Linked DNA regions of Saccharomyces cerevisiae S288C. Changing the gene in region 1 together with any one later gene gives a genetic interaction. Each region holds a gene or a part of one and is shown in the gene's direction. Other genes may lie near its edges. The genes, in order: GCN20, LYS20 and ARD1.

Evidence for each region.
Region 2: mutations in GCN20 (region 1) and LYS20 together harm fitness more than expected from each alone (negative genetic interaction), as found in Saccharomyces cerevisiae (2 studies listed by BioGRID).
Region 3: mutations in GCN20 (region 1) and ARD1 together harm fitness more than expected from each alone (negative genetic interaction), as found in Saccharomyces cerevisiae (2 studies listed by BioGRID).

The regions. Positions count from the first base shown.
Region 1 is NC_001138.5:156,247-164,300, forward strand, and holds the start of GCN20 (putative AAA family ATPase GCN20), read left to right. Parts: upstream 1-6,241; coding exon 6,242-8,054. Other genes in the region: YFR006W (putative Xaa-Pro dipeptidase), read left to right, coding at 1-1,506; YFH7 (Yfh7p), read left to right, coding at 3,053-4,114; FAR7 (Far7p), read left to right, coding at 4,289-4,954. UniProt on the Saccharomyces cerevisiae protein: Acts as a positive activator of the GCN2 protein kinase activity in response to in response to low amino acid, carbon, or purine availability.
Region 2 is NC_001136.10:129,191-136,995, forward strand, and holds LYS20 (homocitrate synthase LYS20), read left to right. Parts: upstream 1-4,246; coding exon 4,247-5,533; downstream 5,534-7,805. Other genes in the region: VMA1 (H(+)-transporting V1 sector ATPase subunit A), read left to right, coding at 1-812; 60S ribosomal protein eL41 RPL41A, read right to left, coding at 1,217-1,294; MRX19 (Mrx19p), read right to left, coding at 1,681-2,643; INH1 (ATPase inhibitor), read left to right, coding at 5,989-6,246; AIT1 (Ait1p), read left to right, coding at 6,706-7,805. UniProt on the Saccharomyces cerevisiae protein: Catalyzes the aldol-type condensation of 2-oxoglutarate with acetyl-CoA to yield homocitrate. Carries out the first step of the alpha-aminoadipate (AAA) lysine biosynthesis pathway.
Region 3 is NC_001140.6:130,230-137,896, reverse strand, and holds ARD1 (peptide alpha-N-acetyltransferase complex A subunit ARD1), read left to right. Parts: upstream 1-6,450; coding exon 6,451-7,167; downstream 7,168-7,667. Other genes in the region: YSC84 (Ysc84p), read left to right, coding at 1-1,016; MIP6 (Mip6p), read right to left, coding at 1,364-3,343; SPO13 (Spo13p), read right to left, coding at 4,975-5,850; retromer subunit VPS29, read right to left, coding at 7,449-7,667. UniProt on the Saccharomyces cerevisiae protein: Catalytic component of the NatA N-terminal acetyltransferase, which catalyzes acetylation of proteins beginning with Met-Ser, Met-Gly and Met-Ala.

The DNA.
Region 1 (8,054 bases):
ATTTTACAGCCAGAGTACAAAGATAAGTATTATTACAGTAAAGAAAAAGGGGAAGAAATGGGCGAGGTAGCAAACGTAAATGAAATTCCGGTCAAGATAAGAAATCATAAGTATCCTGCGAAAGAACATAACTTGAGGGTTAAAGATTTGTTGTTAAATCGCAATCCGAAGCTATCAAAGATATCCACAGCATTTTTTATTGCTGGTGAAGAATTAGAGGGAAACAAGTATTGTGACACCAACAAAGATTTTAGACAGAATAGATATTTTTATCATTTGTCAGGTGTTGATATACCTGCTTCGGCGATATTGTTTAACTGTAGCACAGATAAGCTGACATTGTTTTTGCCAAACATCGATGAAGAAGATGTCATATGGAGCGGTATGCCTTTGAGTTTGGATGAGGCAATGAGAGTGTTTGACATTGATGAGGCCTTGTACATATCTGATCTGGGGAAAAAATTTAAAGAATTGCAAGACTTCGCTATCTTTACAACCGATTTGGACAATGTTCATGACGAGAATATTGCAAGATCACTAATTCCTTCAGACCCTAACTTCTTTTATGCTATGGATGAAACTAGAGCAATTAAGGATTGGTATGAAATTGAAAGCATCAGAAAAGCTTGTCAGATTTCAGACAAGAGCCATTTGGCCGTTATGTCCGCGTTGCCCATCGAACTGAACGAGTTACAAATACAAGCTGAATTTGAATACCATGCAACCCGTCAAGGTGGTCGTTCTTTGGGCTATGACCCCATTTGTTGTTCTGGACCGGCATGTGGCACTTTACATTACGTCAAGAATTCAGAAGATATCAAAGGTAAACATTCCATCTTAATTGATGCAGGTGCAGAATGGAGACAATATACAAGTGATATCACCAGATGTTTCCCAACTTCAGGCAAGTTTACTGCGGAACATCGTGAAGTTTACGAAACCGTTCTTGACATGCAAAACCAAGCAATGGAAAGGATTAAACCTGGTGCTAAATGGGACGATTTACATGCACTGACACACAAGGTTCTTATTAAACATTTCTTAAGTATGGGTATTTTCAAGAAAGAGTTTTCTGAGGACGAAATCTTTAAAAGAAGAGCTTCTTGCGCTTTTTATCCCCATGGACTAGGGCATATGTTGGGGCTTGATGTACACGACGTTGGTGGTAATCCAAACTATGACGACCCAGATCCAATGTTTAGATATTTAAGAATCCGCCGTCCTTTGAAAGAAAATATGGTTATCACTAATGAACCAGGTTGCTACTTTAATCAATTTTTGATCAAAGAATTTTTGGAAAAGCACCCCGAAAGATTGGAAGTTGTCGATATGAGCGTATTGAAAAGATACATGTATGTCGGTGGTGTTAGAATTGAAGATGATATCCTTGTTACCAAAGATGGTTACGAGAACTTAACTGGTATTACTTCTGACCCTGATGAAATTGAAAAAATCGTTCAAAAAGGTTTGAAGAAACCCCGTTCAGGTTTCCACGTAATCGTTTAGGTATTAACTTTTTTTTACTCGCTTCTAGAAGTTTAGTATATTCTTTTGTACACAGAATTGTATATTTTTTTTATAATCTTGGATTCACCATTTAACTAGATTTGGAAATATAAGGAATGGCACTGAAAAAATTAAGGACCAACCCCGAAGAGCAAAAAATGAATGCGAATTCTGTGGATCGAACACAGGACCTCCAGATAACTTGACCGAAGTTTTTTCTTCAGTCTGGCGCTCTCCCAACTGAGCTAAATCCGCTTCTATTTATGAAAAATTCATTGTTACAGGAACTATAGGACTATAATAACTAGCTGCTAACACCTTTAAATGTGACTTTTCTCATAAGGAAATCTAGCGATTCAGAATTCGAGAATTTTGCAGATTGCAAAGTTTTCTTTTTACCATAATATTTGAGAATGTTGTAAAACTTGAGATAATTATTCGGATGTCATTGTTGATTGAAGATAGCATTCCTATGAGTCGCCCTCGAGGACTTGGATCGAAAAATCTACATAATATTAGTAATTACTATTATTGTTGGAATTGGATAAACCGTCGTCCACCTATTTGAGAAATAGGTAATTATTATATGAGTTATTTGGTTCCTTTTTGTTAAAGTAATAATTTGAAATGCCATCCATTTGGTAATATTCATGTTATTGGCATATTATCATATGCGGTTCAGGAAGATGACATAAAAGTTGAGAAACAGTTATCAACCCTAATGGAAGCTGAAATGCAAGATTGATAATGTAATAGCATAATGAAACATATAAAACGGAATGGGGAATAATCGTAATATTATTATGTAGAACTACCGATTCCATTTTGAGGATTCCTACATCCTCGAGGAGACTTCTAGCATATTCTGTGTACATAATATTATGGTCTTGATCAACAATGCAATCCCAACAGTTATCAAATTATTCAGAAAATTGATCACATTTTCGATAAATCTATTATGAAAGTAAAATTTTGACTCATACCTAAGTTCTCGTTATTCGTTAATCTTATGAACTCATTAACCTTGGCGTTTCAGCATCCGCTATGATTACTAGTGCTTAAACCTTGTTATTCATGCCTCATAATTGATGCCATCTTCTAACCTCGAGCGTGATAAAATTTTTGTAATATGAACACCAATCGGCGGAAGATCATCCCAAAGCCACATATGATGGTGCCTTATAACATTAATAACAACTTCAACTGCTGCATACCGATAATATCTTGACGATTATGCATTCGTGTCCTGATAGCTAATGCCATGAAACAATTCTTTTCAATCGCACTTGCACCTTCGTGAAATAGAAGGGTTATCTGGGCTTATCAGACTTGTCCACAGTTTACATATAATTTTTTTTCTGTATTAAATTTTGTGAGCTTTCTTTTTACTCAAACGAACTGTGTTATTTTTCGTTCATTAAATGCGTACCTTTAAGCATCATCAAGTATTGCTCTTCGGGAAAAATGAAGTAACCTTGTTAGGTTAATTTCACTAGTACTATACATATTTTATCCTGTATCATACCAGAGGATCATTCTAGCCACAATGGTCGATACGCATAAACTAGCAGACGACGTTCTTCAGCTATTGGATAACCGTATCGAAGATAATTATAGGGTTTGTGTTATCCTAGTCGGTTCTCCAGGCTCCGGTAAGTCTACTATTGCGGAAGAACTTTGTCAAATTATAAATGAAAAATATCACACATTTTTGTCAGAGCATCCAAATGTTATTGAGGTTAATGATAGGTTGAAACCTATGGTTAACCTAGTAGACTCTTTAAAGACGCTCCAGCCCAATAAAGTAGCTGAAATGATTGAAAATCAGGGGCTGTTTAAAGATCATGTTGAGGATGTTAATTTTCAACCAGTCAAGTACTCAGCCCTTACATCAAATAATGAAGAATGTACCGCAGTAGTTGCCAGAGGTGGTACTGCGAATGCCATAAGAATCGCAGCAGTTGATAATCCAGTCAATGTTAACAAGTTGGCCCAGGATAGTATCAATATAGCGCAAATAGTCCCAATGGATGGTTTTCACTTATCTCGCAGATGTCTAGACCTATTCAAAGACCCACAAACTGCCCATAAAAGAAGAGGTTCGCCCTCAACGTTTGACAGTAACAATTTCTTACAATTGTGTAAAATTCTAGCCAAGACGTCCCTATGTAAGGTCTCCTCACATCATAAATTTTACTCCACTTCAAGCGTTTTTGAGAAGTTATCCAAAACTTTTAGCCAAACAATTCCTGATATCTTTGTTCCAGGATTTAACCATGCACTAAAAGACCCAACTCCAGATCAGTACTGTATTTCCAAATTTACAAGGATAGTTATACTTGAAGGGTTATACCTACTGTATGACCAAGAAAACTGGAAGAAAATTTACAAAACATTAGCTGATACGGGAGCACTTCTTGTTTATAAGATTGACATAGACTATGAGGCCACCGAAGAAAGGGTGGCCAAAAGGCATTTGCAATCAGGGTTAGTCACGACTATTGCAGAAGGACGAGAGAAGTTTCGCAGCAATGATTTGTTGAATGGCAGGGATATAGATAATCATTTAATTAAGGTAGATAATATCGTCCATATCCGCAACGACTAGAAGGTTAGGCGGAACCTTGTATATATTTTTGTAAAATCGAACTGAATACAGATAATTAAGGCGCGCAAGCAAAAACGGCATTCTTTATGAACTCTGCAGAGGTGCCCTTTATTACGACATATATGGGAAGTAATACATATTGATTCTACAAGAAGTTCAAGCCAAGGTTTAGATATGAGTGACCAAATCAACGTTTTGTCAATGCAACAACAACAACAGCAGCAGCAGCAGCAGCAGCAAGTATATATGTCTCCTCAAGCAGAAAACTTGAATCATATGTACTTGTTAGTTAACAAGCTAGTGAAACAGTTGAGGGAAAATCAAGCAGAAAAGGCGAAAATACTAAGGAACATAGACATATTATCCGGAAGCTTAAACAAGTATGAGACATCTGAAGAACCTCACGATACCACGGAAAATATTGCATTATTTAATAGATTTCTAGAACAAAGAGGGAAAGCTCCTATTACTGAGAAAGAGCAACTAAGCAACAATCTGGATGAAAATGCGAAAGATGACGTTATGCTAGGAGTGTTGAAGCGCCAAAATTCAATGCTCCGGAAAAGTTTACAGGAATCCAAGCAGGTAACCCTTGAATCCATGGATTTATTGTCTTACTCCGAAGACTCTTTAAATTACATTGTCGCCCAATTAAGAGGAAACATTCTAATGCATCATAAAGAGACTATCAAATTGATTAGGCAGAAATTCCAGACGGAGACAATTCCCCTCGAAGATGAAGAGTTCAAGATGTATTTGGAAAATGTTAATGGTCTGCAAAAATTGACAGATATATCTCACACTTATAGATTACTACTGAGGTTACATGCACAAGATTGAAACTTTGCCCTTTTGCTTCCAATGAAAGCAAGATGACAAATATACATGCTTCTTATATTCGAGATTGCGCAAAAATTCGAAGCTCATTTATGAAGGCTTTTTCCATTCTGATATATGTTTATGAAATTGAAAAAGTAACGACGGTGGAACATTTTGCGGGAAAACAACTCACAGAATGTCTTGACGTTCTTTTCCTGCAGTTGCGTGCGTAAGATATCCTAAGCTACTGTATTATTTGCCAAAAATAATAAAATGTTGGAGGAAAGCCTCTATAAATACACAGGATATATATGTTTAATAAACATATATAATTTCCTCAATATTTGCAAAAGCATTTTGTTGTGATGAGAGTCGATTATCGTTTACCGATTAGTATCTATACTATTAATATATTTTCATATAATTAGTATAATCTCATATACGCTGCCAGAAGATAACATGAAAATTAAGAAACAATCATCAGCTTCAATGGAAGTTGAAGTGCAAGGATAAATAATACTATTTAGAAATATGGATTTTCCCTCGTTGACTAGAAGATCTGTGAAGATTGGGTGAATAGTTTAATAATTATTGGATCCCATTATTGATCAAGGCTATAATACTTGACTATTTGGCGAATTTTGAGATAATTGTTGGGATTCCATTGTTGATAAAGGCCATAATATTATGTATACAGGATATACTAGAAGTTCTCCTCGATGATATAGGAATCCTCGAAATGGAATCTATATTTCTACATACTAATATTACGATTATTCCTCATTCCGTTTTATATGTTTCATTATCCTATTGCATTATCAATCCTTGCACTTCAGCTTCCTCTAACTTCGATGACAGCTTCTCATAACTTATGTCATCATCTTTACACCGTATATGATAATATATTGATAATATAACTATTAGTTGATAGACGATAGTGGATTTTTATTCCAACACACTAATTATCATTCGTTACATCTCAAATTGGTTAGAGAAGTTACAAACATTATTATTGATTTATCCAAGGATAGTTTTCACAAGAAAACAAGCGCAAGTGGTTTAGTGGTAAAATCCAACGTTGCCATCGTTGGGCCCCCGGTTCGATTCCGGGCTTGCGCAGTTTCTTTTTTTTCTGATTTTTATTTTTTTGTTCCTGAAAATTTTTCGTATTATTAGATCTAGTAGAAAATGAAAGACATTTGAAAAGAGAAATATATATTCTGCAGTAAGCTAGCTAAGACTAGTCGTTTTGAAGCGCTAAAACGTTAACTTCGATTCATAGCACAAAAGGTAAATAACTTTTTTGAAATGGCAAGCATCGGTTCGCAAGTGAGAAAAGCTGCTTCTAGTATTGACCCTATCGTCACGGATTACGCAGTGGGCTACTTTAACCACTTGTCCGGAATAACTTTTGATGCTGTTCAAAGTAAGCAGGTAGATTTGTCCACTGAAGTGCAATTTGTGTCCGATTTATTGATTGATGCGGGTGCGTCAAAGGCTAAAGTTAAAGAACTATCGGAAAGTATTTTGAAGCAATTGACTACTCAACTAAAGGAGAACGAAGCCAAATTGGAATTGACCGGTGATACGTCCAAGAGATTACTTGATATTAATGTCTTAAAGAGTCATAACAGTAAATCCGATATCAACGTCTCATTAAGCATGCTGGGTGTGAACGGTGACATCGAACATACTGGTAGAAAGATGGAAACAAGAGTTGATTTGAAAAAACTGGCCAAGGCTGAACAAAAGATCGCAAAGAAAGTCGCCAAGAGAAATAACAAATTTGTTAAATACGAGGCTTCTAAATTGATCAATGACCAAAAGGAGGAGGATTACGATTCTTTCTTTTTGCAAATCAACCCTTTAGAATTCGGTTCATCCGCTGGTAAATCCAAGGATATCCATATTGACACTTTCGACTTGTACGTTGGTGACGGTCAAAGAATTTTGTCCAACGCCCAATTGACTCTAAGTTTTGGTCACAGATATGGTCTTGTGGGCCAAAATGGTATTGGTAAATCTACTTTGTTAAGGGCTCTATCTAGAAGAGAGCTGAACGTCCCCAAACATGTTTCGATTTTACACGTGGAACAAGAGTTAAGAGGTGATGATACAAAGGCTTTACAAAGTGTGCTGGATGCAGACGTTTGGAGAAAACAACTATTAAGTGAAGAAGCCAAGATCAATGAAAGATTAAAGGAAATGGATGTATTAAGACAGGAATTCGAAGAAGACAGTTTAGAAGTTAAAAAATTGGACAATGAAAGAGAAGACTTGGATAACCATTTGATACAGATTTCTGACAAATTAGTCGATATGGAATCTGACAAGGCTGAAGCTAGGGCAGCATCAATCTTATATGGTTTGGGGTTCAGTACGGAGGCACAGCAACAACCCACTAATTCCTTTTCCGGTGGTTGGAGAATGAGATTGTCCTTGGCAAGAGCCTTATTCTGTCAACCAGATCTTTTGTTGTTAGATGAACCTTCCAATATGTTGGATGTGCCATCCATCGCTTATTTAGCAGAGTATTTGAAAACATATCCAAATACAGTTTTGACAGTTTCTCACGACCGTGCATTCTTGAATGAAGTGGCTACAGATATCATTTATCAACACAACGAAAGACTAGACTATTACAGAGGCCAAGATTTCGATACCTTTTACACCACAAAGGAGGAACGTAGAAAGAATGCTCAACGTGAGTATGATAACCAAATGGTTTACAGAAAGCACTTGCAAGAGTTTATTGACAAATACAGATACAATGCTGCCAAATCACAGGAAGCTCAATCAAGAATTAAGAAATTGGAAAAATTGCCCGTTTTGGAGCCACCTGAACAAGACAAAACCATTGATTTCAAATTCCCTGAATGTGATAAATTGTCTCCACCAATTATCCAATTGCAAGACGTTTCCTTTGGTTATGATGAAAACAACCTATTATTGAAAGATGTTAACCTGGACGTTCAAATGGATTCCAGAATTGCCCTTGTAGGTGCCAATGGTTGTGGTAAGACTACACTGTTGAAGATTATGATGGAGCAGTTAAGACCACTAAAAGGCTTTGTATCAAGAAACCCAAGATTACGTATAGGCTACTTCACTCAACATCATG
Region 2 (7,805 bases), on another chromosome or scaffold:
GTAAAAATGTTTCTATGATTGCAGACTCTTCTTCAAGATGGGCTGAAGCTTTGAGAGAAATTTCTGGTCGTTTGGGTGAGATGCCTGCTGATCAAGGTTTCCCAGCTTATTTGGGTGCTAAGTTGGCCTCCTTTTACGAAAGAGCCGGTAAAGCTGTTGCTTTAGGTTCCCCAGATCGTACTGGTTCCGTTTCCATCGTTGCTGCCGTTTCGCCAGCCGGTGGTGATTTCTCAGATCCTGTTACTACTGCTACATTGGGTATCACTCAAGTCTTTTGGGGTTTAGACAAGAAATTGGCTCAAAGAAAGCATTTCCCATCTATCAACACATCTGTTTCTTACTCCAAATACACTAATGTCTTGAACAAGTTTTATGATTCCAATTACCCTGAATTTCCTGTTTTAAGAGATCGTATGAAGGAAATTCTATCAAACGCTGAAGAATTAGAACAAGTTGTTCAATTAGTTGGTAAATCGGCCTTGTCTGATAGTGATAAGATTACTTTGGATGTTGCCACTTTAATCAAGGAAGATTTCTTGCAACAAAATGGTTACTCCACTTATGATGCTTTCTGTCCAATTTGGAAGACATTTGATATGATGAGAGCCTTCATCTCGTATCATGACGAAGCTCAAAAAGCTGTTGCTAATGGTGCCAACTGGTCAAAACTAGCTGACTCTACTGGTGACGTTAAGCATGCCGTTTCTTCATCTAAATTTTTTGAACCAAGCAGGGGTGAAAAGGAAGTCCATGGCGAATTCGAAAAATTGTTGAGCACTATGCAAGAAAGATTTGCTGAATCTACCGATTAAGATATATGTAGCATTTATCTTCTGGTATATTTGTTAGATGTCTTTTCTTCGTATTTCAAAAAATTTATATAGGCGTATGTTAATAAGATAAAAAATAATTAAAGGAAATTAACAGATGTACCTCAATGAAATGACACAGTAACATAATACAAGACTTGCCAAGCACAATTACAATGATAAATAACTTTTGTTTTCAAAAAAACGGACAATTGATTAAACTATGTGAGACATATATAAAGCACTATATAAATAGTAGGCAATGGTTTACACCCCACCGTGAGATTAGTATGCAATTTAGATCCATTATGAGGTAGAATAGAAACTAACATGTTAATTCATCAATGACATTACGATACTCTTGAAAGAATTTAAAACAAAATTAGAGTTATTTACTCATAATCCGCTTATTTGGATCTGGCTCTCACCTTCCGTCTCTTTCTCTTAAGTCTTCTAGTTCTCTTCTTTCTCCACTTGGCTCTCATTTCGATTGAATCGATGTGGTCTGGTTCTTTTAGTACAAAATGGAACGGATATAAGATAAATGAGAGTTGCTTAGAAGTCCAGTTTTATAGAAGACGAGGTCAGTTTCGTCTTGTTAAAATATCGTCCATCTGCCATGGGGAAAAGTGAAACTTTCGGGTAGGGTAATGAGGCCAGCCTTGCCTGGGAAAAAGTTAGGGGTCAGTTACTTTTAAGAGTTCATTGATCGAGAGCGCGTGGAAAAAATTCTAGAAAGAAAGCTATAAAATGTGCGGATGTTTGTATATGTCAAAGGTGTACGGGAGCGCATCAGAAAAGTACAGTCTAATTTTCGAACGCTCAGGAATACCTGTTATGTATATTTACATGAGATAGTGGACAATCTACATTAAATTTTGTTTTTCTCTTGAGATTTCGATTCTTGAAGGATGACTTTGTTCAAGTCGCTTTCTAGTTCATGAACCTCTAAGAAATCTAAGATCAACGGAAGGGTTTTCTTGTTAAGTAGTAATTCTGGTGCACCTTTTGATTCCTTTTGATTGCCCTGCGTACGGCTGCTGGTCCCACGTTTATATACTTCCGTATATCCCAACAGTTCCCTGAATTCTAAATTTTGTTTTGAACTTTCCAGTAGACTCTTCAAGTGCTTAGCACCAAGGTAAGCTTTGATATTAACATAAGCTCTATAAGATAGGTAGAACCCTGGAACATTTGGTATAAGCGGTATTAAAATTAGAGGAATTGTCAGCGGGAGACCTAAAAGGCAATATAAAGTCCATTTTTTGTGATAAATTAAGCCTTCTTGGTAGAGCTTTTTCATTTGTCTCAAGCACTCATCAGGGCTAGAAATTCCAGGGGGATAATACACGTGTAAGGGTTGAGTATCGACCTGTTCTGCCTTTACGGTATAATCTTTCAATGTGAGTCGAATCTCTTGGGTCTTATCTTTCTCTCCCTTAATTCTCTTCAATATATAGCTTTCACTTGGTATGGTTAACAGACTATTTTCTGACCAGGGTGTGCTATTTAACAGAGACTGCACCATGGACACTATTTTTTTATTATACGATTTAGGGGACTTTTTCAGTTTTCTCCAAAGCTTTGCTGATTTCTCAACGATCCACTTTTCTGCTTTTAATATTCTAGACTGACTATTAAAGAGATTATCGGTATGCTTATAGTAAATGAATGATTCTTTGTCCGTTATTGGTATCACAGTCACTTTAACAGGATCATGCAGATATTTTTGGAGTGAAGCCTTTTCAAGTTTTGTTGAATACGCCCTCATTCCGTAGAACAGTCGAGAAGTGGCAGTTATACTAGTTGGCGGTATAAATATTGAACGTATCATCTTTAATCTAAAATACACCGGATGAAGTTTTGGTATTGTGATAAAATGATTCTATCGATGAAGAGCAATGATATGGATACTGCTACGTTGAAAAGGAAAAATTTCATGGCTAACTAGTAACTGAAACTGTGCCAGATAGCACACCCTTTAGATACTATCTTGGCACAATGCCCGATGCTTACTCCCCGGCGGAGACAGCCGTCAAGTCCATCCATCCAAAAGTGGAGGAAAAACAAGAAAATAAAGCTATCGAACAAGGAGCGTTGAAGTAAGAAAAACAAACGAAGAACTGAATAAACACAGCCTGCTTCAAATTATGGAAGGAGCTGTTACACATGGTAATTTTCTTATTTTTTTTGATAGATGGTGGAAAGTGGTAGCGTGGAAGTTGCGGATTATCACGACGTTTTATGGGCTCTAAATCGGTATAAGCTCAACAAATGGTTGAGGGCCGAATAAACGAAAAATTATTAGACCATAATTGCTACCAGCTGAAAGATTATCTCATTATAATACGCTTGAAACCCTCTAAAATGTCATTCGTAGTTAAGTACACTTTTTTGATCTCTCCAAGGTTAGCCGCCCATATAAAAAACTCTAGGAACCAAATTTGGTATACTGCGTGCGCTTGAGATTCAGTTTTTGTGTAAATCGGTTGCTGCAAACTATTTATATTAATGTTACATCGATGCAAGATTTTAGCCATGTTCCTAGTTTCTTGTCTATGAGCGTTTACTCAACCGAGACTCTTGTTTGCTATTATCTCGATTCGACGAACAAACAGTTCCCTGGGTATTCGAACAAAGCACAGTTGGTGATTTTGTTTGAAACTACAGACGTGCTCTCTTTTACAAAATAAATTGTAGGAAGTGATCCGCACAGGCAGAGGGAATTACAGATCACGCTCCTCTCTTATGACTAATGCACTCAGCATTTTCTCTTCCTTATAAACTCCGTCCACAGTACCCGATCAGCTGGCTCATCGTTATTCTAAATTAACTGATGACTGATGTTACGTCTGCGTCAAATTCCGCCGGAATATTGCGTAGTTTTAGTAAGAAAAAAACAAATTCCGACGGGAACTCTCTGCAAGGAAGTTTAAGCGTGGGTTACTTTGCTAGGTTGAGAAAAAGAATTCTTTAGAGGATCACACGTAGTAAAAGAAAAAAAAGATCTCTTCGCGCCACTCCCGGTTTCTCTGTGGATACGGCGTTACTAGCGTTGCAAGTGGCAAAAAAATGAGTAATGTCACAATGGCCTGGCCTTGTCCCACTATCCCTTATTCATGGTTGAAAAATATGACCAAAATTGCTGGGGAATTTTCTCTTCGGTAGTGGACGACGACGACATTAGAGCAATAGGCAATAATTTAATTTGCGCTTTAGGTTCTTGCTGACGATGATGCGTGAGTAATATTATTACCAAGTTTTAAGGGCCTCATCGCTGGCCATTTTTTACACCTGCTTAAATACCCGATGATGATATATATAAATGATATTGGCTGCTTATCGATAAAGTGTATTTGATATGTTCCCGTTTAGTTTATTCTTGTTTCTTATCTACATAACAAACAAAGGAAGGACCCTGTATTGTTTTCCTAAAGATGACTGCTGCTAAACCAAATCCATATGCTGCCAAACCGGGCGACTATCTTTCTAATGTAAATAATTTCCAGTTAATCGATTCGACGCTGAGAGAAGGTGAACAATTTGCCAACGCATTCTTCGATACTGAAAAAAAGATCGAAATTGCTAGAGCCTTGGACGATTTCGGTGTGGACTACATCGAGTTAACCTCACCAGTAGCATCTGAACAATCAAGAAAGGACTGTGAAGCTATATGTAAACTAGGTTTAAAGGCCAAGATCCTTACACACATTCGTTGTCATATGGATGACGCCAAAGTCGCCGTAGAGACTGGTGTCGACGGTGTCGATGTCGTTATCGGCACCTCCAAATTTTTAAGACAATATTCCCACGGTAAGGATATGAACTACATCGCCAAGAGTGCTGTTGAAGTCATTGAATTTGTCAAATCCAAAGGTATTGAAATCAGATTTTCCTCTGAAGATTCCTTCAGAAGTGATCTCGTTGATCTTTTGAACATTTATAAAACCGTTGACAAGATCGGTGTAAATAGAGTCGGTATTGCCGACACAGTTGGATGTGCCAACCCAAGACAAGTATATGAACTGATCAGAACTTTGAAGAGTGTTGTTTCATGTGACATCGAATGCCATTTCCACAACGATACTGGTTGTGCCATTGCAAACGCCTACACTGCTTTGGAAGGTGGTGCCAGATTGATTGACGTCAGTGTACTGGGTATTGGTGAAAGAAACGGTATCACTCCTCTAGGTGGGCTCATGGCAAGAATGATTGTTGCCGCACCAGACTATGTCAAGTCCAAATACAAGTTGCACAAGATCAGAGACATTGAAAACCTGGTCGCTGATGCTGTGGAAGTTAACATTCCATTCAACAACCCTATCACCGGGTTCTGTGCATTCACACATAAAGCAGGTATCCATGCCAAGGCCATTTTGGCTAACCCATCTACCTACGAAATCTTGGACCCTCACGATTTCGGTATGAAGAGGTATATCCACTTCGCCAACAGACTAACTGGCTGGAACGCCATCAAAGCCAGAGTCGACCAGTTGAACTTGAACTTGACGGATGACCAAATCAAGGAAGTTACTGCTAAGATTAAGAAGCTGGGTGATGTCAGATCGCTGAATATCGATGATGTTGACTCTATCATCAAGAACTTCCACGCAGAGGTCAGCACTCCTCAAGTACTATCTGCAAAAAAGAACAAGAAGAATGACAGCGATGTACCGGAACTGGCCACCATCCCCGCCGCCAAGCGGACTAAGCCATCCGCCTAACGTTCCCAAACCATTACATTATGTTCTTTCACTTATTACATACGATATATAGCATCTACATCTACATATCTAAATGATGTTTTTTCCCATCTACTTTGTCCGATACGCATTAAAAGAAGAAGATTTACTCTCCCGTGATGCCGGGCCAATCAGACGCGCGCATTCGCGGCAGAATAAGGGGAGGCTGCTGCGGGTACCAAATATCCAGATATTCACAATTATGCCAATCAACTGTCTAGTTGCTGACACCCATCGTTTTCCACTGCAACGAGGTTTTGGGGCTAGAAAAGGCGTTAACAATCGTTAGAGAAGGAGGGGTTCATAACTTGACTTGTTGTATCTTGTTTAAAACTTTCTTTGAATTTGTTCGTGGTTGAATTTGTTTTTGCTATCCCAAAGGAGTGCATTTTACACGCATTACTACAGCACACTTTTATACAGTTCCACAATAGAATATGTTACCACGTTCAGCATTAGCACGCTCATTGCAATTACAGCGCGGTGTGGCCGCAAGGTTCTACTCTGAAGGTTCTACCGGCACCCCAAGAGGGTCAGGCTCAGAGGATTCGTTTGTTAAAAGGGAAAGGGCCACGGAAGACTTCTTCGTTAGGCAGCGTGAGAAGGAGCAACTACGCCATTTGAAAGAACAACTGGAAAAACAACGAAAGAAGATTGATTCTTTGGAAAATAAAATTGACTCGATGACCAAATAATCATGCGTTTCCGCAGAAGCTTTTTTTTTTTTTTTTTTAGAATATTCTTACTCTTTTATAGTCAAACAGCAGAAAAACTATATAATAATACATCACACTGAGCTTTTGCATTTTCGATAACTATCATTCTAGTTTTCCTCTGGTTTGAATTTTCCTCTTGTCTGTCTGACTAATGTCACTCATTATTTCCACTTCGCGCAAAGTTCGTCCCAATGCGGAAAGGCATAGAAAGATAGGAACAGTGTGGAACATGGAAAAGTTCCAAATAACGTCAATAGTCCATACTTAAGATACGAAATTTCAAAATTCCTTCTTTTTTGTTTCAACAAGCTTAGCCTAACACCAAGAATATACTTAGCATCTCTTCGCATTCAAAATTTCTCTTCCATTCTTTGACGTTTTAAATCATACCTCGTATTCTTTACACAAAAGAAAGATACCTGTGAAATATATCTGAATATGGTCCGATTAAATCATGCAGCATCATATTTTATGCCTATTTTCTGCTCCACAAGGCCTCACATAGTGATACTTTCTGCGCTGTTTAGTATTTCACTGTTTTCACTATTCTATGCGTCGTCCGAATTACTGCTACACCAGTATGATGATCCATTGATGTTCAAACCAAATTCGCAGGACTATTTCAGGACCTTTCTTTTGGGGCTTTTTTCACCATTTCTTTATTATTTCCTGAAGACCTTTCTATTCAATATAAATCAAAGGTTTTTAATATTGAACCTGATAGTGGATTTTCCTATCAACGACGTCTTTATGCTTTTGATACTGATTGGTTTAGCGTACCCTCAGGTGCAAGATCACGAAGGCGGTACGATCAAGCATAAGGAATGTTCTTGGCACATCATTCCAAGACAAGCCTATATCTTTGGTATATCATGGGCCCTGGGTGAATTCACCATATGCATAATAGGGAATTTGTTTAACTACCAAGAAATCGCCGATCCAAACATTAATAGTGGCTTCACACACCAGGAAAGCGCCAACACTTACTGTAACAATAATGATATGAGCCATAACGATGACTGCGGTTGTAGTACAGAATATCGCCCCAACGTCGTAGACAGAAGTGATATTACGTTGTCCAAATGTATTGAAGTAAGAAATGACTCATCTTCCATATCGAATAACGTATACTCGTCTGAGTACCATCCAATCAAACCTCTACGTTCATCGTCATCAACTTATGGCAGCATACGACAGCAACCTCATGAAAATAAGAAGCAGCTGCATGTACCAGATAATTCGCAGGACGATACAATTATCATGATGAACCCCATCGACAATTCATTAAAGTTGACAACTCTAGATACGGGTGATTTGAGTTTCCCCATAGACGAAGAACAGCCCATTTTGAAGAAATCTTTTGGTTATACATGGGCAGTTCCTAATGAAAATACACAAAATACTACTAAAAGCTTCACACCGATAAAGAGATTTATTGCATTTAGCACGGCATACCAGTTGGTCACCGGTTTATTGTTAATGATATTGGTAGTTGGTAGTAATATCATGTTGACAATTGGGGAATCATTGATTCTGTC
Region 3 (7,667 bases), on another chromosome or scaffold:
CCGCAGGTCCTCTTGGAAGAAGTGCAGAAGCTGCAGCTTCTGCATCCACAGGTGGTGTCTCGGCAGTTTTTGCCTATTCCAAAAGCAAAGGTTTATTTGCCGGTGTGTCTGTGGAAGGTTCAGCCATCTTGGAGAGAAGGGAAGCTAATCGAAAGTTTTACGGCGATAACTGTACATCAAAGATGATTTTGTCAGGTAGAGTAAAAGTTCCACCAGCAGCAGACCCCCTACTCCGTATCTTGGAATCAAGAGCGTTCAACTTTACACGCCACGACCATGATGACAACGCTAGCGGTGATGATTTTTATGATGACGGTCAATACAGCGACAACACAAGCCATTATTACGACGATATTCCAGATTCCTTTGATTCTACTGATGAATCCTCAACACGTCCAAACACAAGATCATCAAGAAGAAGAGGAATGTCGCTGGGGTCACGCAGTCGTTATGATGATGATTATGATGATGATGGTTACGGACGTGGTCGCGGGTATGGAGATTTTGATAGCGAAGATGAAGATTATGATTACGGAAGATCTCCAAATAGAAACAGCAGCCGCAATAGAGGCCCACAGATAGATAGGGGTACTAAGCCGCGTGCGAATACCCGATGGGAAGATGATTTGTATGATAGAGATACTGAATACTCCCGTCCCAACCATTCCGGTAGGGATTATGATAATACCCGAGGAAATAGGCGTGGTTATGGTAGAGAAAGGGGTTATAGCCTTGGTCATGGCCCAACTCACCCCAGCAATATGAGCAATGTCGATGATTTATCACATAAAATGTCGAAGACAGGGTTAGGTAATGAATCCACTGCTACAAATTCGGCGACACCAACGGCTGTTGCTCTCTACAATTTTGCTGGAGAACAACCAGGCGACTTGGCTTTCAAAAAAGGTGATGTTATTACTATCTTAAAAAAATCAGATTCTCAAAATGATTGGTGGACAGGCAGGACTAACGGAAAAGAAGGAATATTCCCTGCAAACTACGTTAGAGTTTCTTAAATTATCGTCCTCCATATGTCTCGTTCCTATATATAGAATTTTTTTTTAGAGTTATGAAGTTGAGGATGGGTTCCTTATTCAGCTATGTTTACGAAATGTTTGTAGTTATATAATCACAATGGAAAGCTTCGAGGAACCACTTCTTAAGTACTCACTTAGTAGGTGGAGTATTTCTTGAAACTGGACTATACGCCATTAAACTAAAAAAAAATCGAGGCTGAAACTCCTTGGAATAATTCTGGGTAGATTAAGATAGCAAAGAAAACAATACTCTATTTTTATAGACATACGTACTTTTGTACCGAAAATTGCATATTGATGAACCTGCCTTCTTCCTTTAAAAGGAATCAAACTGTAAATCCGAGGCTTTCAGCAGCTCTAGTGACTTGTTTTTGTAGAATTTTCTGTGATTCTAATGAAGTATTTGTCATTAATAAAAAGTGCGATAGCCTTTCTGAGTCATGCTCCCAAAATACGTCAAAAATAAACTCGGAAATGCTGCGCAGATTTTCTTCTTTATTTAAACCAGAAATACTTATACGTTGTAAATTTCTGTTTATAATTTTTTTTAAGGACTCAAGTATTTCTGCATTCTCCTGTTTAGTTCTCTTAGGCTGATGCAGTTTTTCGTCAACAGTATTTGTAATTAAATTAAATGCTGGATGAGGTTTCATCGGCGTAGCTACGAGAGAGTTCATGTTTGTGTAGGAATTTGAATATGATGAGAATGGGGAAACTACTTGTTGAAACTGTGACGTTAATCCCTTTTGATGAGCTGATAACTCTTGTGTGCGGAAACGCATCATGGAACTAATGTTGATTAATTTCTTATAATTTTCATTGTTGTTACCATCGTCATAGTCTATCTCATTTAGTATATTATCATTATTCTTTGACCATGATGCCTCAACCAAACTACTTCCAATTAGTCTCCTATCCAAAATATTAAATAATCTCTCAGCATCACTACGAGAAAAACACTCAACATGTCCACAAAATGTCCAATTTAATGAGTTATAGTTTGTGATCTTAATTTCACTGAATCTTATTTTTTCTTGTAAACATAGTTGAGAAATAAACTCCTTATTGCAATTGAAGCTTAAATTTTTTAGATAAACCTTTGTTTTCTTGTTCGTTCCAATTTGATTATGAACAGGCTTATCTTTACCAGGACCAACCCAAATGGTATGGTTTTTAAAAATTGTTTTATTCAAACATTTCTGTGCCTTTTTAGATTCTTCTTCATTTTTATATGTGACGAACGCTTTATGTGGTGTGTTCGCCTGCTTTTCAGAGATGAATACAGATTTTATGGGGCCAATAGTGCTGAAGTAATCCAAGACCTCTTCTTGTGTTGTGTCAGATGGTAAATTTTTGACTAATATTGTTTTCGAACGAGCATTATCTGATAAATTATTGCTAGCCAATAGTTCGTCTTCGATAACTATGTCGGAGCCAATCATTTTTTTTCTTTTTGTAAATTCAGGTCTAGTTCTTACTTCTTTGTCAAAATGCAATCCACATATAATTTTATTTCCAAAAAATTCTTGGTTATTGTATTTTTTGATTACATTTCTAGCAGAAATATCGTTATCGAAATAAACGAACCCAATGTTTTTTCTTCTTTCTAGAAGACATGACAGTACATTTCCGTACTCGATCATTATTAGATAAAATGATCTTGTGGTCAGTTGGGGATTTTCCAGTGGTAAGTTAGAGAAAAAAACATTTGTTCCGATGTTTTTTCTAAATAATGTATTTTTCATAGATGGCATTATTTTAACTTCTTGACCAAAAAAAACCGTATAATTAAATTCTTTCCTTGCAGATTCTGCATCGTTTTTATCCTTGAAATTCAAATAGCCATAACCCAATGATTTTTTGGTGAGAAAATCACGACACACTTTAGCAGATTCAAAAGATTGATACCTTTTGAATATCTTCCTTAGCATTTCTTCAGTGACAGTTGATTTCAGATTTCCTATAAACAAACTATTTGTCTTTGAAGTTTTCGTGATATATTTTTGCACGCTTCCCTTTGCAACAGTTTTTTCAAATACTTGCTCTTGTTCTTTCTTTTCTTGAGTTGCATTTTTACAATCGTATTTTTTGAGGCTATTCTTTTCTTTGACTTCAGCATCCTTTAATTTCACATCACCGAGCTTATATCCAGCTCCTTGCACGCGTACTAGTGCTTGGGCTGATATCGTTTTGAAGCTTTTCTGCCTTGCATCTTTATCATTTGGGCAACTTTTAGAAATCGATCTGGGATTTTGCTTGCTATTTAAAGAGATATTATTCAATACATTACCATGAGAGTTTGGCATCTTTTTTTAGGGAATTTTTCGTATTTCTGCTTTTATTGACTTGGATAATTCATTATGTTAAGTAAGCTCTAATTGCTAAAAATGCCATAAAAAGAAAACTTATTGGAAAAGGACCGCCATTTCGAACGGAATTTGTGACACAAGTTCATTTTAGCAAAAAAAGGTCCTACCCGGATTCGAACCGGGGTTGTCCGGATCAAAACCGAAAGTGATAACCACTACACTATAGGACCGGAACTTACTGGTCGATCTGAAAATCATGATCGAATACGTCATCCTTGCATTACCCAAAATCAATCAATTTTTAATGAAATACATCAAATTTTGATTGTTGTTATGAAACTTCAAAATATCATCCGTTTATTAGTACTCACGCTACTAGTTTATTGTCAAATAAGTTGTAAGAAGATGGCATAAACATTGAGAAACAGTCATCAATTCTAATGAAAGCAGAAATGCAAGGATTGACAATGTAATAGGGTAATGAAAAATATAGAACGGAAGGAGAAATAATCATAATAACCTTATGTCGAAATACAGATTCTGAGAATTAGGTGAATTTTGAGATAATTGTTGGGATTCCATTTTTGATAAAGGCTATTATATTAGGTATACACAATATACTAGAAGTTCTCCTCGAGGATTTAGGAATCCTCAAAATGGAATCTATATTTCTACAACCTAATATTACGATTATTCCTCATTCCGTTTTATATGTTTCATTATCTTATTACATTATCAATCCTTGCACTTCAGCTTCCTCTAACTTCGATGACAGCTTCTCATAACTTATTTCATCATCTAACACCGTATATGATAATATATTGATAGTATAATTATTGGTTGATAGACGATAGTGGATTTTTAATTACATTTTGAGGATTCTTATGTTCTGGTGGATAACTACTAGTATATTCTGCATAGCTGATATCATAGCCTTCACCAACAAGGAAATCGCAACAATCATTAAATCATTCACTCAATATTCATAATCAATGGATGATGTTAAATTCTTATTTTAACATTTAGTTTGTGATTTCCGGTAAAAGGGTAGTGTTGTTTTTTTGAGAGCCTTTTCTGACGGACAAATGGTCGCAGGAAATATAAATTTATATTTAGTAATACGCAATCGCATACACATAAAAGAAGCCGAAATATTTTATCAAATACAATAGAAGCTAAAAGCAAGAATTGATAATGTAATAGGATAAAGTAATATAGTTATGGAGATTTATCGACGCCTTTTTGTGGATTCCAAGACCCTCGAGAAGAACTTCTAGTATACTCTGTGTACGAATATTATAGCCTTTCTTCAACAATGGATTTCAAACAATTATCCAATTATTCACCCAAAATTTAATATAAAACATACAAGGATTGCAATTTCAATTGACTTATACTAAGGCATAAGATCCTGATATTATGCTTACGACTTATATAATAAGTGGCAACTTGGCCGAGTGGTTAAGGCGAAAGATTAGAAATCTTTTGGGCTTTGCCCGCGCAGGTTCGAGTCCTGCAGTTGTCGATAATTTTTTTAAAAAAAATTGTGGAAATTTTGTCATTCAGTATTAAAGATTTTCTATGCAATAAACTAATTAACATTCTACAGAAAAAGTAAACTAATCTTTTTAATTAAGGGAAGACTCACTATCATTATAAGTTGCATTTTGTCCACTAGACTCATAATCGGAACAATTAACATCCAATGTATTTGAAAGTCTCTTTTTACTTAACTTTGGTGCTGCCCTTGGTGTCTCTTGGCCAACAAAATCTCCGTTATTAGAAATCGAGACCGGATATATTGGAAGATATTGGTAATTTTTTTCTTTATCTAGACTTTTGGTCTGATGGGGCAGTCTTGTTTTCTTAAACAATGGCGAATCGTATACGTTAACATTCGGATAAAGCAACTCCGGCCGTTGGATGGGAATGGCATAGTTTAGGTTTGGGTTATGACTTGGCGTCAGGAACGTTGGGTTTCCAACGAAATTTTGATACGGGCTAAAATTATACATAGGAGAAGGAGCAATATAGTAAGGAACTGGAAACATGGGTGCTTCTCTTTCTACATTTATTTGAGAAGATTGAGAAAGAACCGGCGTTGAAGTAGATTTTGGAGGCTGCTCAATGTCCTCGAACCTTAAGGAATTATCAAATGAGGGGCGCTCTATTGTTTGTCTTTCGTTTTTCAAGGTATTGCTTGATTTATTTTTCAAATATCGAACATCTCCAGCCTTTGAGTACTGTTGAGCATCACTTACAAAATTTAATCCTGGATGTGGGCTTTCTAGTCTTAAATCGACATGTTTCGAATTGAATATATTTTCTGATTCTGTTTTTTTTGTTTTTCTGATTTCCTTATTCTTGATTTCTTTACCAATTTTAAAAGCAAGTGGAGAAACTCGCAAGTTTGGGGTCTTCTCTTGAAGAGGTTTTTGAACTTTCCTTTTAGAATGTGTTGGTGACCCTAATTCGAGTAGCCTAAAGCGTTTTCTGGGTGCCATAATTATTCTCGACTCAACTTCAATCCGTTTTCTTTCTTCTTATTGCGCTAATTGTCTGTTAGACACTTTTATGAGACTTCCTTTTTGTCGGCGGCTATTTCTCAATATACTCCTAATTAATACATTTCCGTGCAAAGGTACTAACTAGCTAAACGGATACTAAAGAATTCAAATGTGAATTTAAGCATAACTGCAGGTAAATCAAGAAGCTTGAATATTATACTGTAGTCAAAAATTAGATGTGTAAATACTGTGTATTATAATTCTGAAGTTTATTCAGAAAATATCATGGAACAAATGATACGCTGAAGTGCCTTCTGCCCGGAGATAAAGAATTCATAAAGTATAATCTCCATGAGACTTCCAGGACAAATATTTTCTCTTAAAGCGCTTGCTTTAGTAGTATTGCATCCAATGCTAATTTGTCTTTATTGATCTCTAGGCTCAATCCTCACTTTCTCGCGTCAATTGGTTTTTTGAACAGAAAAAAAAAGCACCGTCTGAAAAGTTTGAAACCTTTTGTCAGCAACGAGTAATTGCCAAGTGAAAAGGGAAACCTAAATACATACGATCAAGCTCCAAAATAAAACTTCGTCAACCATGCCTATTAATATTCGCAGAGCGACAATCAATGACATTATATGTATGCAAAATGCCAACCTTCATAACCTACCCGAAAATTATATGATGAAATATTATATGTATCATATTCTCTCGTGGCCAGAGGCTTCGTTTGTTGCTACTACCACCACTTTGGACTGTGAAGATAGTGATGAACAAGATGAGAACGACAAATTGGAATTGACCTTAGATGGGACCAATGACGGCAGGACAATCAAGTTGGATCCAACATACTTGGCTCCGGGCGAAAAATTAGTTGGATACGTTCTCGTGAAGATGAACGACGACCCCGACCAGCAAAACGAGCCACCAAATGGTCATATTACTTCCTTAAGTGTCATGAGAACCTATAGAAGGATGGGGATTGCCGAAAACTTAATGAGACAAGCTTTATTTGCGTTGAGAGAAGTTCATCAAGCGGAATATGTTTCCTTGCATGTGAGACAATCTAATAGAGCAGCTTTACACTTGTACAGGGACACATTGGCGTTTGAGGTGTTGAGTATCGAGAAAAGCTACTATCAGGATGGTGAAGATGCATACGCCATGAAGAAGGTTTTAAAATTAGAGGAGTTGCAGATAAGCAACTTCACCCATCGCCGTTTGAAAGAGAATGAGGAAAAACTAGAAGACGATCTAGAAAGCGATCTACTAGAGGATATCATTAAGCAAGGCGTAAATGATATCATTGTATAATTAAATCAACCTATATAAACGTAGTATATTTTCATCCAGGCTTCTTCACAAGCTCTGTTAGCTCTTTTTGAGCACGGTTCTAAACACTGCAGTGCTAATTCGGTAGAATTGTGTGAGCATGAATAGTAAGGAAACTGTGCATGCAAGCTTTCTTTTTTTATATATGTAATATCCGGCAGATAGGATATCTTAATTACATCTATCTCGTCTGCAAGAAAAAGTTCACGAATGCATCTAATGTTTAGACATCATAGAAATGCATAAAAATGAAAATGGCTACCCTATTCCTTTTCATAAACCACTTTATCGACCTTCACTTCTCCATTAACGTATAAATAAATGTATAACGTGCAGGTATTGCCTTGAATATCCAAGAGGCAGAAACTTGGTGAATTAGACCCATTTATATCCGAATCTGACATATCAACCTCGTCTTCCTTAAATTGGTTTTCAGGCTTAACGTTGCTTTCATTCTCATTCTCACGTTCCCCAGCAGTGCC